2 linked regions of the Macaca fascicularis genome follow. Each later gene encodes a partner of the first gene's protein in a complex. Links are inferred from orthologs where the notes say so. Each region holds a gene or a part of one and is shown on either strand. Other genes may lie near its edges.

Region 1 (7,590 bases):
TTTTAAAGATGAAAATAATGGAAAAAAATCACCAAATACAAAGGTTTAGCTACATTAAATTCAATAGTTTCAAATAAACAAAGTAAAATACTAGGTAAACATTAAAATGAGAAATGTATTTGGCAAATAACAGTTAAATGGGGTGAAATCCTAACTATATAAAAAGCGCTTTTAAATCAATAAGAGAAAAACTAATACCCAGAGAAAGAAGGGCAGAAAGAATTAAAGGAATGAACAGATAATTCACAGAAGATATCAAATGCAGATAAACGTATAAAACATTCAACTTTACAATCAAATTCAAATTAAAATGACAAAGAGAGCATTTTTGTGGCTATTCAATTGGCAAAGATTTGGTGAATTGAGACTGAAAACTTAAGTACATCTGACAAGAGTAAAGCATGTTACAACCTTTTTGGAAAGCAATTTGGTAATCTGAATTAAAGCTTAAAATAATCCAAAGTACGAATATATATTTTTGAAATACTCAAGAGATGTAGGCAAAAAGTATGTATAAAGATAACCATTATAATTTACATTGGCAAATGGAAGCCACGGCAATGCCCCAAATAAAGAAATATTTAGTTTGTGGTATAATCTTATGATAGAATGTTAGTGTAGCTATTTAAAATGTATTACTAAAGAACATCTAATGGTTTGGGGAAAAACCACTTATGATGTGATAACAATTGAAAGCATCAGTATACAAAATTATACATAGCAAGATACCAATTTTATAAATCTATAAACCATACATTCATAGGAAAAAAAAAAGAAGGAAAATACAATAAAAGGTTAACAATGGTTATATCGGGGGAAAGAAATACGGATAACTTGCATTTCATTCTTTATGCTTTGAAGACTTTTTCAGATGTTTTATAGTGAACATATTGTTACTTTTATAAGGAGACAAAAAATTAATGTTATTTTTAAAACTACAGTTAATGGATATTTTTGAAATATGCTGCCAAGTGATACAAGAAAACTTTCAGAAACAAAGCAAGAAAGCAATTTTTAAAAATCAATAGAACATCATTCTGTTGTTCTTATACCTGAACAACAGAAGATACTTTTTATAACATGAAGTTTTCTTCACACGTTCGATACCATCAAAAGACTTTTAAAATAAAGCTAGTAATACCTATTACATTTTCACTCAGAAATACAACCTATAAAAAAAAGCTTATCTAATCAATTACAGCAAAATGTGTAATTAGAAAGCTTACCTTTTTCACTTACACTCTCACTTTCAATCTCAACATCATCACAACTTGTATATTCGGGCGTGGAAGCCAATTCCTCCTCTGAACTGCTCAACGAAACCTGGCGCATTTTACCTCCTTTCTTCGATTTATGAGGCTTTGGTGGGGGAGGTCTCACTGACTCTGACTGGTCTGAACTGAGAGAATCATTCCTTAACATTGTTTCCATTTTTTCCCGTTTCGTTTTTCTTACAGCAGAGCTAGGATCTAAGTGGTGCTGTTTCCGTAGTGAGTCAGTACGCCTCAAGTCTGGTCTATCTATGGGTAGCGGACTCCTCCTAGGGGTAGGAGGACTATGGTTTGTGGTCCTTTGTGCATAAGAACTTGGTCCCTGAGCCTCTCGAGTTCTTTCCATTGAATAAGATCGCTGATTTTCCATGGCAGCTCTACGTTCAGATATAGATCTTTGCCTTGATGGTCGGTCCATCCTTAGCATAGAAATCCTGGAATCTTCCAGGTCAGCATTTGCCAAAGAAACATCACTATGCCTTCTCTCATGCCGTGCCCGGGACACTTCAGCATGGATCCGCATTTGTTCTTCATAGGGTTGTGGCTTTACTGGATAACGGGCCAAATTTGGATCACTTCGGTAGCGTGACTGGTACTCTTCCTCTCTCCTTTGTCTTTCGTATTCATCTCTACTTTCCACATCCTCATCATCTACAATATATTCTTTGGAATGCCTATGACTTCTCCTGTTGGAGTCCCTATAACTTAAATGATCAGAGTCTTCATAAAACTGAGGTTCATGTTGAGATCGCCTATCAGCATAATCTGATGGAGATCTAGGCATTGCGCTATCCGAAGTAGCATACTGTGAATATTCCTCTCTTTCTTCCCTTTGGTCGTATCTTCTATTCTGATCTCTGGACACAGATGGGCTTCTTTTCCTAAGTAACCAAAGGAAAAGAACAATGAGAAGAGCAAAAATTTATCAATTTTACATTTCATTGATTTGCTGGCAGGTTGATGGATAACTAAGTAGTCCTTTTGCCTTTTTAAAATTTCATTTTAAAGGCATACCAAAACAATGGTTTTAGTAGTATTCATTATATTAAGTTCAAATAAGTACTTTGTTGTGGTTATTAAGTGCCTGCAACACTATATCTGGAATATGCTTATGCTCCAAAATTAGGTAATATGCTATTCCACTGCTATAAAATAGCCTTTATTCTAATTTCCTTGCTTGGCTTGCTACATACACTTCCAGTATCCACCAACTATTATTCAGCAGCTTAGAAAAATATTTTCTTCCATCTGCTCTATACCTAACATATTATGAAAGTTACCTGAAAATGTAATGAAGCCAAACTGATTTGGCTCAAGAGTTGAATACTTTCTGACTAAAACTAAGTGCTGGCTCTTAAAAATCGTTTTCATTCATCATCTGTCTAGTTCATTCCTAGTATTGGTTCACCTAAATTTTCATTTTATCATCATGTCTCCAACATTTTTTAATCGATCTAACTTGAGATAAGCAATTTAAATAGATAAATAATAATGATCCACTCATTACAAAAATCCTAGAAATCAGAAAAACTGCTATTTTTATTCCATCTTCATTTAGATTAAGGCCAGCTTGGTGATATTATTCTACTAAGTCTCTACATCTGACCCCTCATATTTCCTTATAGTCTCAGAAGAAGAAACTGCCTATTACGTTCTCAACTTACCCTTCTAACACTGGTAAAACCTAGTGAACCTTGCAATCACACATAATACCCTGTTAACAAAATATTCACACCAACCTTTTCTCTGGAATAAACTCAGATAATATCAACTATTAGTCATGAAAAGCAATAGGATTAGAATCCTGAAGATAACAGAAAAGGTTTAGAAAACTATTATGGGGATTTTGCCAGGACATGAACAGCAGATAATGAAAGAGTGAAGTCAGTTGAAGTTAAAGATGACTAAGATTCAACAGTCCAGTTGGGAATTTCTTAGTCAATGGTTTATTAGTCCAAAAGCAAGAACAGAGAAAGGACAGAGTAGAATGACCCAACCTGGAAAAATCAGCACTCTTCTCTAATATCTCCCCTGGGTCACAGAATCTTTTTCCCTCATATTTGGAATACAGTCTGCCAATCTATCAATTAGGTTCACTAACAAAAACAGAAGTTATTCTAGGTTTTCCAGGTAGGAAGGGTTTTAATTCAGGAACCAGAAGCTACACAATGGTTGAATGGGCTACAGGAATGAAAGCCAGGAAAGTTAATGCTGATGATCTTAGCCTGAAGATGCAGAGACAAGGGTTCTCAAAATGGACATTAGAAAGCTGCTATGAATGCCAAGAGTCTATGGACATCTGCCAGCAATTATTTCAACCACCTAAAGCATCAGGGTGGCCAATTAACAGGAGTTTGCCCAGGAGCCACTAAGACTTTTATATCTGCCCATCTGCTAGCCAACAACTAGCGCATGACAATAATGGCTTCTGTATATCCTCCACCTTTCAAATCTTAGGTAAGTACAAAGCCAGGATAAACTCTAACCTGGAACTATAAAGGAATAACTACTGTAGAAAGTGAAAAAATTAGTCTATCCCTTAAATGTTTCATAATTAAGAAAGTGGATATGACATTTTTTAGCATTTACATTTATATATAAAACATTTAGGACTTAATTACAAATCTTTTAGATTACAATTGTTACATAAAACCATAGATTCCTACAGTTTAAAATTTACAATCAAAACAAAACATTAAAAAAAATTTATAGTAACACCCTATGTTTGTGTGTATATGTGTGTGTACACTGTGCATCATTCATTTTACTTTTGTCATTACTTTTATACATTTGACTAAAAAAAAAAATACTCTGGCATGATAGTAGTCTATCATGAAAAGAACACCAGATTTAAGGAATCTACAGTTCTTAGTCATACTTTTGCAATTAGCCAGTTATTTCAAACTATATAACCATTAAATCCTTAGGAGTTTGTGCTTTAAATTGAGAGACATAGATTTTACATGTTAACTCATATATTACTTTAACAAACATATATTAGGTAAGAAATAAATGCCACACACTATCATATAAATTAGGAATACAGAAATGATTAAGACACATTCCTTGTTCTTAAGAGGGTGAATGATTCTGAAACCATCTTCCATTTCATAGGTAGTATGATTTTATTGATACCACAAATTCATCAAGTTAATAAGCCTACATGAAAGCTTAATGCATTAAGGATTTCCCATAATATATTTAATGCAAACTGAGTATAGAAGTACGAAAAAAAAGGAACACTTCATTCCTATCTTAAAGAATTAACATGAATTTTTGAAAGTAGAGTATAAAGTGAATACAGTATATTTTATCTTACTGATAAATATTTATTTCCTATTAAGGACTTCAGTTCCAAGAGAAAGGTTATTAATAATTAGTTCCTAGCAAGCCATCTAGGTACTTTTTAAAAATCATACCTTAGGAAAATTGAATTCATTGTTAAATCTAGCAATCACATTGTTCTAGAGATTATGAAATTTGCCAGAAATATGTGAATCATACTGTAGATGTCGATTTGTACTGGATTTAAGATTATAACCACTATAAAAAATAGAACAGTGGTTATAATCGGAAATTGGGATGACTATTGTCACTGTTACAAAGACTTAGGTTTTCAAAAATACACTTTAAGGTATAGTACTTTACAGTATATTAACACTATGCGAGAAACAAGGCACGATTTCATTCTAACAATATATGTATCAAACAATGAAGAACCTGCAATCAATTATTTCTAAATGATAAATATTCTATCAAATAATTTTTACCAACTATATTATGAATTACTTCATATATACTGTCCTTTAAATTTTAAACTTCTATATTTCATGATACTATATTCCTTTCAGGAACTAAATAAAATCAATGTAAATTCAAGTAATGTGTTTCTAGTCTATATCTTTGCTACCAGCCTTTATAAACAAGACTTAGCATTTATCATCATCAGGTGGAAAACATTTAATAGATAAAACAATATCATTGATAATTTATACATTTCTCTAAAGAACCATAAGGCATTTAGCAGTATTTAATTCATCTATTATAATACAAAGGAAAAGGAACGATTCATCTAGGATTTTACATTTCACTTAATCCTTCAAAGACCCTGAGAAATTAAGAGGCAGAATCCAAAATTATGCCTTTCTTTAGTATAAAATGTGTTTGTGGCATCATATAGTGCCTTAATCTTTAATCCTATGCATTCTATCAATCCCTATTTCTGTTATAACAATATCAGTATATATTTATATTCACTTTATATTTATCTAATATCGATTCACTTCTCTTTACTGCCACCTGCATTGTTAGAATTGTTTTCTCTTTCACCATAGTATTCTCTCCTTAATTAGAAACAGTTTATAGAAAACCACATTTTAAACATCCTAAATCTACTGTAATAAGTATCATTTCTACTCCTTGCTTACAGTTGTTTGTCATGTGGACTATTCAATCTATTTCTAAATATTCTAGCTTGTATAACACATCTGATGCTCCATTATAAATGTTATTCTAACTATGCAAAATAGTATGCATAGGAAATCCTACCAATTAGACTCCTTAAATTCCATGTCCAAAAAGCATACTGACTGATGGGAAAACTCCAATGAAGCTTCTTTCCCAATTAAAATCACTTCCAGATTTCCCAAAGGCATCCAGGGTTTATATGCCATAAATTAATTCATCATGTTTTTACCATAACTTCCATTTTAACATTTACAGGCTTTACCATCTTAAGTGATTTGTGTTACTAATACCACCTATAATACTGACCATATTGATAAAATAATAATCAAATCTCTGAAAATATAGTCTGATGAACATTTGAAAACATTTATAAACGTTGAAAAATTACATGGAAACCTACATTGTAATATTTACATATTTTAACTCAACTGAAGAAATATGCAATTTTTAAAAATTATAACACTGGAAATACAGTGCAGAATTTGAAGATTACTAATTTTTGTAAATTCAAATTTTACATTAAATTAAGTACTACCTATATGAAAATTTTTGTGACTCATAAGCATTAATAGTAGAGATCATTAAAAAATTGTTACTTTATAAATAAAAAGATGTAAATCACACTTGAAAAATCAATAACCTGAAAAAAATACCTACTTGTTTTTAAAAATCTTTATAAAGCACGGATATTGCTAAATAAACTAATATAATACTTCATGAATACAATTACACAATGCTAACTAACCATACAGTTTAAATGTAACATTGCAACAAAATTCTAAAATTTTAAGCTGTTAAAACACATTAAATCAAGGATTTAACAGAAGTATATGATCCTGTAAAACATGAAAACAAAGGCCCATTTCTATAATTCCTACAAAAAGCTTTTAATAAATCAATTTATATTTATAAAAAATCAAAAATATAGAAATTTTTACATATCACAATTAATATTTAATCTATTTTTATTGTTTTACCTTTGTTCAACCAATGCACATCTGTCGAGCATGAAGCATCATGTTGACAAAAATACATCAACAGTGTGCCAGGCAGTGCTTTCATTTAATCCTTCTAGCCCTGGCAAAATCATAGAAGCCATCCTTAATCAGACGATTTGAAAGTCTCTACTTGCTAACAATTGTTTTATTTCAAAACTCAGTTACTAAAAAATTACACAAAAACAACACTCATTCAAGGATGGAGTCATAGAATCCTCTAGTGATGGGTCTGTTAAGAAAAAGGTTATTCTTTAATGCTGTTACTATGTGGCTGTATATAGCTCCAGATCAAGTAAGAATGTACCCTGTAAGGAGGATTATGGTACTTAGCTGATTAGTGCCTCATAATACTGAACACCAAATGCAAGCTACATCCAAGGCATTTCTGGGCACTATGAAACTCAGAAGTTGGTTAGACACTAAGTTTAAATCAAATTTTGCTCATTTTGTCAATTAACATCTCAATGCTCATTCAGTGATTTAAAAAAAAATTAAAAAGAGAATAAGGCCACACAAATTCCTTCCTAGCAAAAGCCAGTTATCTGGATATTAATATTACAACTCTGAAAGTTATATTTAAATGATTCCAAATAATTTTATATAAAAACCTGAGAAAAGGCCAGTGTTAGATGAGTAGAAAAAGATTAAAAAGGGCTGTGCTGTTTTTAGGTCTCACAAATAGCAAGTTTAAATGAGGGTCTAGGAATATATGGTAGCACCATTCAACTATTTGTATAGGTATTCACCTCTATAATTTTATTTTAGAATTAAATGTAGGTCTTGAAAAGATTGGAGGGAAAATGTGGATAGAAAATGTGATTTTTTTACCTCTCAGATTTCTAATAAAGACTGGC
Region 2 (7,690 bases), on another chromosome or scaffold:
AGCTGGGCGTGGTGGCACATGCCTGTAATCCCAGCTACTTGGGAGGCTGAGGCAGGAGAATCGCTTGAACCCAGAAGGTGGAGGTTTCAGTGAGCCGAAATCACACCACTGCATTCCAGCCTGGGTGACACAGTGAGACTGTGTCTCTAAAAAACAAAACAAACAAACAAACAAAAGCTGGATAAATGGAGTTTGTTGTTGATATTATTGTAAGTTGTGAAGCAAACCTGCCCTCACCTAAATTCACTGATTTGTTCATGTCATTTATTCATAAAATGTTTATAGAGCCTTTAAAACATCAGTTGGTGTGGTGGCTCACACCTGTAATCCTAGCACTTTGGGAAGCTGAGGAGGGCGAATCACTTGAGCCCAGGAGTTCAAGACCAGCCTGGGCAACAGGGCAAAACCCTGTTTCTGCAAAAAATAAAAAAATAAAAATAAAAGTTAGCCGGGTGTGGTGGTGCATGCCTGTAGTCCCAGCTACTTGGGAGGCTGAGGCGGGAGGATCGCTTGAGCCCTGGAGGTCAAGGCTGCAGCAAGCTGAGATCGTGCCACTGCACTGCAGCCTGAGTAACAAGTTTTGAGTGAGACTCTGTCTCAAAACAAAACAAAACATCAAGTGGTCTGTGCAAAATGCTGTGAAGCACATAGGAAGATCTGGAACTGACCTTTCACACCACCATGGTTTTGCTCATGCTGTTCCCTCCACCCAGAGCATCATCTCCCTCCTGCTAATCTCTCCCTCATCACATCTTCTGAGACTCAAATAAATGGTGGTGGTGGTGCAATCAGGGCAGGCTTCCCAGAGGAAGAGAGCCCTGGATACCCCACTCCTCAGCTCCCTTAGCCCTCCCTCACCTCTTTCATTCTAACTCCATGGGAGGTGCATGGGTGGTGAATAGGAATAGGGTTGGGTCCCCAGAGCCAGGAACAGTGGCTGGTATACAGTTGATGCTCAATTAATGCTTGTTGCATAAATAAAATGAGTGACTCCACGAAGGAACCAGGTAGCATTTGCCATTCACAGCCTCAGGATCCTGCCAGGACCTCGCGAGTGGATTAAAATGTTGGGGAGCAGCGGGACTCCACGTGGATAAGTAAATGAAGGGGGCAAAAATAAGGCCCATGAATCATACAGGGTGGTCTGCTATGTGTTGGTGCTGGGTGTATACACAAGAGCTTGCATTTGCCTATACTTGCTTGGATATTTGCAGCAGTAGTTGGCTTATCTTACCAGAGCAGGCAGGCGCCTGCCTGTACATGGATATGAGCGTGCATGTGTGCAGGGTATGTGCACCATTTCAGTGCAGGTGGGAGTCTGCACATGTGTGTCTGGGAGTGGGGTGTCACTACATCAGAGACACACTGGTGTGTGTGAGCTTGTGGGTGATAGGTGGAAAACACACATATTGATGTTTGCACGTGTACATGGATGCAGTTCTGTGGCAGCTGTATTTGTTTATATGCATACATGTATGCACTTGTGTGCAATGAAATACTCAAATGTGTATTTACTTGTATGCATCATCATCCACTTGTTGAAAGGGGGTGGTTTGAATGTCCAGGCAAGTGTTGTCATGTGCGTACACACATGGCTTTGACATATGCTTATATGAATATATGTGTGCTTCATGGGGTTGGGGACCTTAACAGATATTTATGGGTACATGTCTGAGCGTTAGGACATGAGTGAATCTCTTTTTTTGAGACAGAGTCTCACTCTGTTGCCCAGGCTGGAGTACAGTGGCAGGATCTCAGCTCACTGCAGCCTCCACCTCCCATATTCAAGTGATTCTCCTTCCTCAGGAGCACGCCACCAAGCCTGGCTAATTTTTTGTATTTTTTTAGTAGAGACAGAGTTTTACCATGTTGGCCAAGCTGGTCTTGAACTCCTGACCTCAAGTGATCTGCCCACCTTGGCCTCCCAAAGTCAAAGTGATGAGATTACAGGCCTGAGCCACTGCGCTCAGCTGGACATGAATGGATCTTTATGTGACATGTATATTGTGAACATTCATCAGACACACGTGGATACATCTATATGCGTGCTGGCAGACACACACACACACTCACACATGTGTTGCCAGGACTATATCTGTAGTGGCAGACTGTGTCCTATATACATGTATATGCTTGTGTTCACACAGGCGTTTGAGTACACACGTGTGCCTATGGAATGCGCCTTCCCAGGCACGTGGTCTGCGTGGAGCCTTCGTGCATCCTAAGCGTTTGTGTCCACACAGGAACAAGTCTGGGTATGAATGTGTGTAGGGATTGGCAAACGCCTGTGGGTCCCCGGTGGAGGGGAGGCGGGGCAGGTATTTCCTCAACTGAGCTCAGGCAACACATCAACGCATCTCAGCCTAGCTTTACTCCTGCCAAGCCCACCCCAACACTCCCCATCTCTCCTGCTCAACCATCCCAGCCCCTCCTCTCTCTGGGCACCGTCCCACCTCTTCCTGGGAGACTGGCCTCACCCAGCACTTCTTCTTCTCCCCACCCCTCCCTGCCTCCTACTCCTCCTCACTCCAACCTCACACCTCCCTTTACACCTCAGGGCCTTACCTCCCACCCCCGTCAACCTCTTCCCCAGCCTTGCCCCTCCCAGCAATTCCTCTCCACTCAGCTGTGTCCCTCTCTATAAGGTCCACAGAATCCAGCACAGTCCTCCCCCCACGTCTCTGTTTCTGGAAGCCTCATCCCTCTTGCCTCCTGCTGCCCCCCCTTAATGCCACCCCCGCAGCCGAGCCTCCTGTTTGCGTCAGAGTTAAGGGTGAGATCCCCACCCCCCTCACTCCACTAGGCAAACCTTCCAGAGAAGCCCAACTTGAAGGATGTGAGGCGGGGTGGGGCGGGATGCTGGGGGGAGAAGAGAGAGGACAGAGGAGTCTGCCAGGAACACCCACGTCGGAACCTCCTCCAGTGCCGCCTCTAAGAGCCCGGCTACTTAGGGCAGGGGGAGAGGTCAGTAGGGGGTCTGGACATTCAAGTTCTCCTCCCATTCCGTCCTCAGGCCTAGGCGGTGGAGGCCACCTAGGGGTCTCCTTCACTTCCCTACTCCCTTAACTCCATAAGCCTGGAGGCTAGGGGCTGAAAGAGTTGACCTTTGACTCTAGGGACCCTTCTTCCACCACCCCCAGCCCCGTCCAGCAGAAACGAGCTTAGAGAAAGGAGGCCCCTGTCCCTTTAAGAACACCCGCGTCCACGCCGGCCCATCCCGGCCTGATTTGCACTCGGAAGCCGCCGCGGCGGGGAGCGGGCGGGCGGGGCAGGGTTTGTGAATGAAGCGGCCGAGGGGGAGGGGAGGGAGGAGGAGGGGCAGCGGGGGCGGTTCCCGGATCCCAGGCCTGCCCACCCTGGGTCCAGGCAGCAGGAGTTCAGCACACACACGCTTCCTGTCGCTCCAGGTCTCCCGAAGCCTGCCGTCTCAGGCTTGGCCGACACACCCCTTCCCCCACCCCAGCCTTCTTGAAGTAGGTGGGAGTGATGGGGGGACCCCAGTCCTTAAGAACCAGGGGTTCAGAGCTCTGTAAGCGTTGAACGGCGGTCCACCTCCACCCTTGCCGCCCAAGGTCTCCCAGAGCTTGAGTTCTCAAACAGGAGTGCCCAGAACGCCTGGGTTCGGGTGGGCTGGCTTCTCCCCAACCCCAGAGCCATAAAGGTGTGGGGTAGGGGGTCATGCCCCTCCCACGTCTCCCTCCCTCCCCCAACCCCAACGCATAGCGTGGGCCTGGGCGTGGGCCTCTGTGCAGATGGCGTTCTGGCCCCAAAATAGCTCCCCCCGCCACCCCACGTCTCCCTCCCTCCCTCTCTCCAGCGCAAAGTGGGTGAGGTGAGGATGGGCCGGGAGGGGGACCAGGGGACATTGCTCTTCCAAGAAGTAGGCTCCCTGCCAAGAAGGCCCTGAAACGTGTTTGGGAGAACCGGAGGGGGCAGGGAGCGGGAAGACCTTCTGGCCATTCCTCCAACCCCCTCACTCGGGAGACCAAAGAGTTAACTGGAAAAGCGCCCCCAGACCCCCAGTCACAGCCCTCTCTGGACGTTGGGAGGGGTCTCCTGTCTCCACACTCCCCCCACTCCAGTCCTCTTTACACCCAGGGCTGGGAGAGTCCTAGAACTCGTGGATGTCCTGATGGCCAAGCCCCTCTACCCATATCTTACATCCCCACGGCTTGGAGAACCCTCCCGCCGCACTCTCCTTCGAATTTCCAGCCGGGTCCGCGTCCATGAGGACCCGCAACCCAGCCCACAACACCAGATCCCTTCCAAGTACCCCTGCAGGCTTCAATCAAACCACCCAGCCCATACTCTTCCTCACTGACCCTCTAAAAACCCGGTCTACACAGACGCCCCAGTCTAAATCGTTTCCAGGTAGAACCCCGGATCCCCGTCCACGTCCACACGGGCCTCCGCGTTCAGCCGCATCCACACGACCCCTCCAGCAGCGGCCACCAGGACCCCCGAGAGCCCTGCCGTGTCTACACGGATCATCCCTTCCGGGGCCCTGCTGCGTCGACAAGGGCTACCCCTCTCAAAAGTCCAGCCGCCTGGACTCGGGCCACCCCCCAGGATCCCCCTAGGAGCCGCATCCATGCGGACCCCGAGCCCAGCCCGCGTCCAAACGGGTACCCCGACCCCCAGCCTCGCCTCCTACCTCCAACGCACAGCAGAGACATGTCTCCGGGCTCGCAGGCGGACCGGAGGCGGCCGGGCCGGCTCTGTCGGGTCGGGCTCAGCGGCCGCTGGGCTGGGGCATCTCCCGGCTGCAGCCCGCGCTTGGCTCACGCCGGGGCCCGGCCGCCACCGGCCATCTTGGTTCAGCACCGGGGGCGCGGACAGCGCCTGACGTGGCGCCGATGCGGGGCGGGCAGGCGGAGCCCAGGGACGCCTGATGGGGCGGGGGCGCTGCGGGCTGGGGGGGCGTTAAAGGGCCTGGCTCCGGAAAGGGGCGCCCCGCCCCAAACCTCCTCGTTGCAGGTGGGACAAGGGGCGAGGGCGGCCCCCAAGCAGGTTTCCTCCCGTGCAGACCCCCACCTGCACTGAAATGGTGCACGTGTCCCCCCGACCTATGCATGGACATTCCTGCCCTGGTAACCTAGGCAAACTCCTCCCTGCAATACTCAAGCAAGTACAGGCAAACGCAAGCTCTTGTGTGTACACCCGGCACCAGCACGAAGCAGATCGTCCTGTTCCTGAGTATCTCTCTTCCTCTGTCTCTACCTCTCGGTGTCTCTGACTCTGCTGACTGGTCTCTTTCTCTCCCTGGGTCTCTGTTCCTCTGACTCTGTCCACTGCTCTCTCTCAGTCATGTGTCTCTTAGCCTCTCTCTGCACAGTCTTTTTGCAGGTCTACTGCATCCTGTCTAGGTCTCTCTCTGTGTCTCTAAGCCACCCAGCCCATGGGTCCTTACCCACACTCTGACTGGATCCCACCCTTCATGCCACTGTGTAACTGGAAAACTCCTATTCATCCATCAATGTCTTGTCTGAATATCCTCTCCTCCAGGAAGCCTTCCCTGACTGCCCCAAGCTGAGCCTTTGTTTCTCCTCTCTGGAGTCCCCCAGCCCCTATCCCTTCCTCTGATTGGGCCCTGACCCCAGTGAAACTCTGCCATTCCTCCCCTCTTTTTTTTTTTTTTTTAGTTGGAGTCTCCCTCTGTAGCCCAGGCTGGAGTGGCACATCTTGGCTCACTGCAACTTCTGCCTCCTGGGATCAAGCGATTCTCCTGCCTCAGCCTCCCCGAGTAGCTGGGACTACAGGAGCGTGCCACCATGCCCAGCTTTTTTTTTTTTTTTTTTTTTTTTTTTTTTTGTATTTTTAGTAGAGACGAGGTTTCCCCATGTTGGCCAACCTGGTCTTGAACCCTTGACCTCAGGTGATCCGCCCACCTCAGCCTCCCAAAGTGCTAGGATTACAGGTCTAAGCCACCGTGCCTGGCCCCCTCCCCACATACCTAACTGGGCAGTTCCATGTGGGCCCCTTGCCCTGCAACCTGCTCGCTGTATCACTGGCACCTAAAATAGTAAGAAAGGCTGAGCCCCACAGGGCCTCCTGCCCCCAGCCCACATGAAAGAGCTTCATAAATGCAGAATGTGCATGGAGTTGAGTGAGGCCATTGTTCAAAACCCAACTCTGCCTCTCATCACCAGCATGGCCTTGGGCAGGTCATGTGACCTCTTTGTGCCTCAGTTTCCCCACCTGTAGAATGAGTATGATAACAAGTCCTGCCTCACAAGGTTGCTGGAGGTATTACATGAGTTAACATATGAAACCAGGCCGGGCGCGGTGGCTCAAGCCTGTAATCCCAGCACTGTGGGAGGCCGAGATGGGCGGATCACGAGGTCAGGAGATCGAGACCATCCTGGCTAACACGGTGAAACCCCGTCTCTACTAAAAAATACAAAAAACTAGCCGGGCGCGGTGGCGGGCGCCTGTAGTCCCAGCTACTCCGGAGGCTGAGGCAGGAGAATGGCGTGAACCCGGGAGGCGGAGCTTGCAGTGAGCTGAGATCCGGCCACTGCACTCCAGCCTGGGTGGCAGAGCGAGACTCCGTCTCAAAAAAAAAAAAAAAACATATGAAACCAGTTGTAGGCCGGCAGCAGTGGCTCACGCCTGTAATCCCAGCATTTTGGGAGGCCAAGGCAGGCAGATCATGAGGTCAGGAGATTGAGACCATTCTGGCTAACATGGTGAAACCTCATCTCCACTAAAAAATACAAAAAAAAAAAAAAAAAAAAAAATTAGCCAGGCATGGTGGCAGGCGCCTGTAGTCCCAGCTACTCGGGAGGCTGAGGCAGGAGAATGGCATGAACCTGGGAGGCAGAACTTGCAGTGAGCGGAGATGGCGCCAATGCACTCCAGCCTGGGCAACAGAGCAAGACTCCATCTCAAACAAACAAACAAAACATGTGAAAACCAGTTTTTTGTTTTGTTTTGTTTTTTGTTTTTGAGACAGAATCTCAACCTGTAGCCCAGGCTGGAGTGCAGTGGCACCATCTCAGCTCACTGCAACCTCCACTTCCAAGTGATCCTCCTGCCTCTGCCTCCTGAGTAGCTGGGATTACAGGCACTCACCACCACATCTGGCTAATTTTTGTGTGTTTTTTGTAGAGACAGGGTTTCACCATGCTGGCCAGGCTGGTCTTGAACTCCTGACCTCAAGTGATGCACCCACCTTGGCCTCCCAAAATGCTGGGATTACACGAATGACCCAAAACGCCTGGCCCCAGTTGTAATCTTAATGCCTAATAGTAACTATGTTTGTATCTGTCACTGCTTTAAATTTTTAAAAAATCAGCACAGCTAATTTTTCTATTTTTTGTAGAGAGAGTTTCACCATGTTGCACAGGCTTTCTCAAACTCCTGGGCTCTAGTGAGCCTCCTGCCTCAGCCTCCCAAAATGTTGGGATTACAGGCTCGTGAGCCACCATGCCCGGTCTTAAATTTTTATTGAACATCAATGAGATGTAGGTATACTATAAGGAGCAGCAAAGACAGCCTTGGATAAAAAAACATTACCATCAAATAGAAGACCCCTGGCCGGGCGCGGTGGCTCAAGCCTGTAATCCCAGCACTTTGGGAGGCCGAGACGGGCGGATCACGAGGCCAGGAGATTGAGACCATCCTGGCTAACACGGTGAAACCCCGTCTCTACTAAAAAATACAAAAAACTAGCCGGGCACGGTGGCAG

The links. The genes of interacting proteins can lie anywhere in the genome.
Region 2: the proteins of RIMS2 (region 1) and UNC13A are in contact, whole or in part, in a crystal structure (PDB 2CJS), measured with the Rattus norvegicus proteins. The link is inferred for Macaca fascicularis from reciprocal best matches to the Homo sapiens genes RIMS2 and UNC13A. Residues at the interface, in XP_063118965.1 of Rattus norvegicus: Asp102, Gly103, Cys104, Ser109, Gln112, Val123, Leu125, Ser127, Asn128, Lys129, Val134, Met135, Trp136; in NP_074052.2 of Rattus norvegicus: Tyr23, Ile36, Trp65, Leu69, Ile70, Trp71, Asp72, Thr73, Met74.

What each region holds. Positions count from the first base shown.
Region 1 is NC_088382.1:113,489,531-113,497,120, reverse strand, and holds part of RIMS2 (regulating synaptic membrane exocytosis protein 2), read right to left. Parts: intron 2,153-7,590; coding exon 1,227-2,152; intron 1-1,226. UniProt on the Homo sapiens protein: Rab effector involved in exocytosis. May act as scaffold protein. Plays a role in dendrite formation by melanocytes.
Region 2 is NC_088393.1:18,018,034-18,025,723, forward strand, and holds the start of UNC13A (protein unc-13 homolog A), read right to left. Parts: upstream 4,838-7,690; 5' UTR 4,677-4,837; coding exon 4,655-4,676; intron 1-4,654. UniProt on the Homo sapiens protein: Plays a role in vesicle maturation during exocytosis as a target of the diacylglycerol second messenger pathway.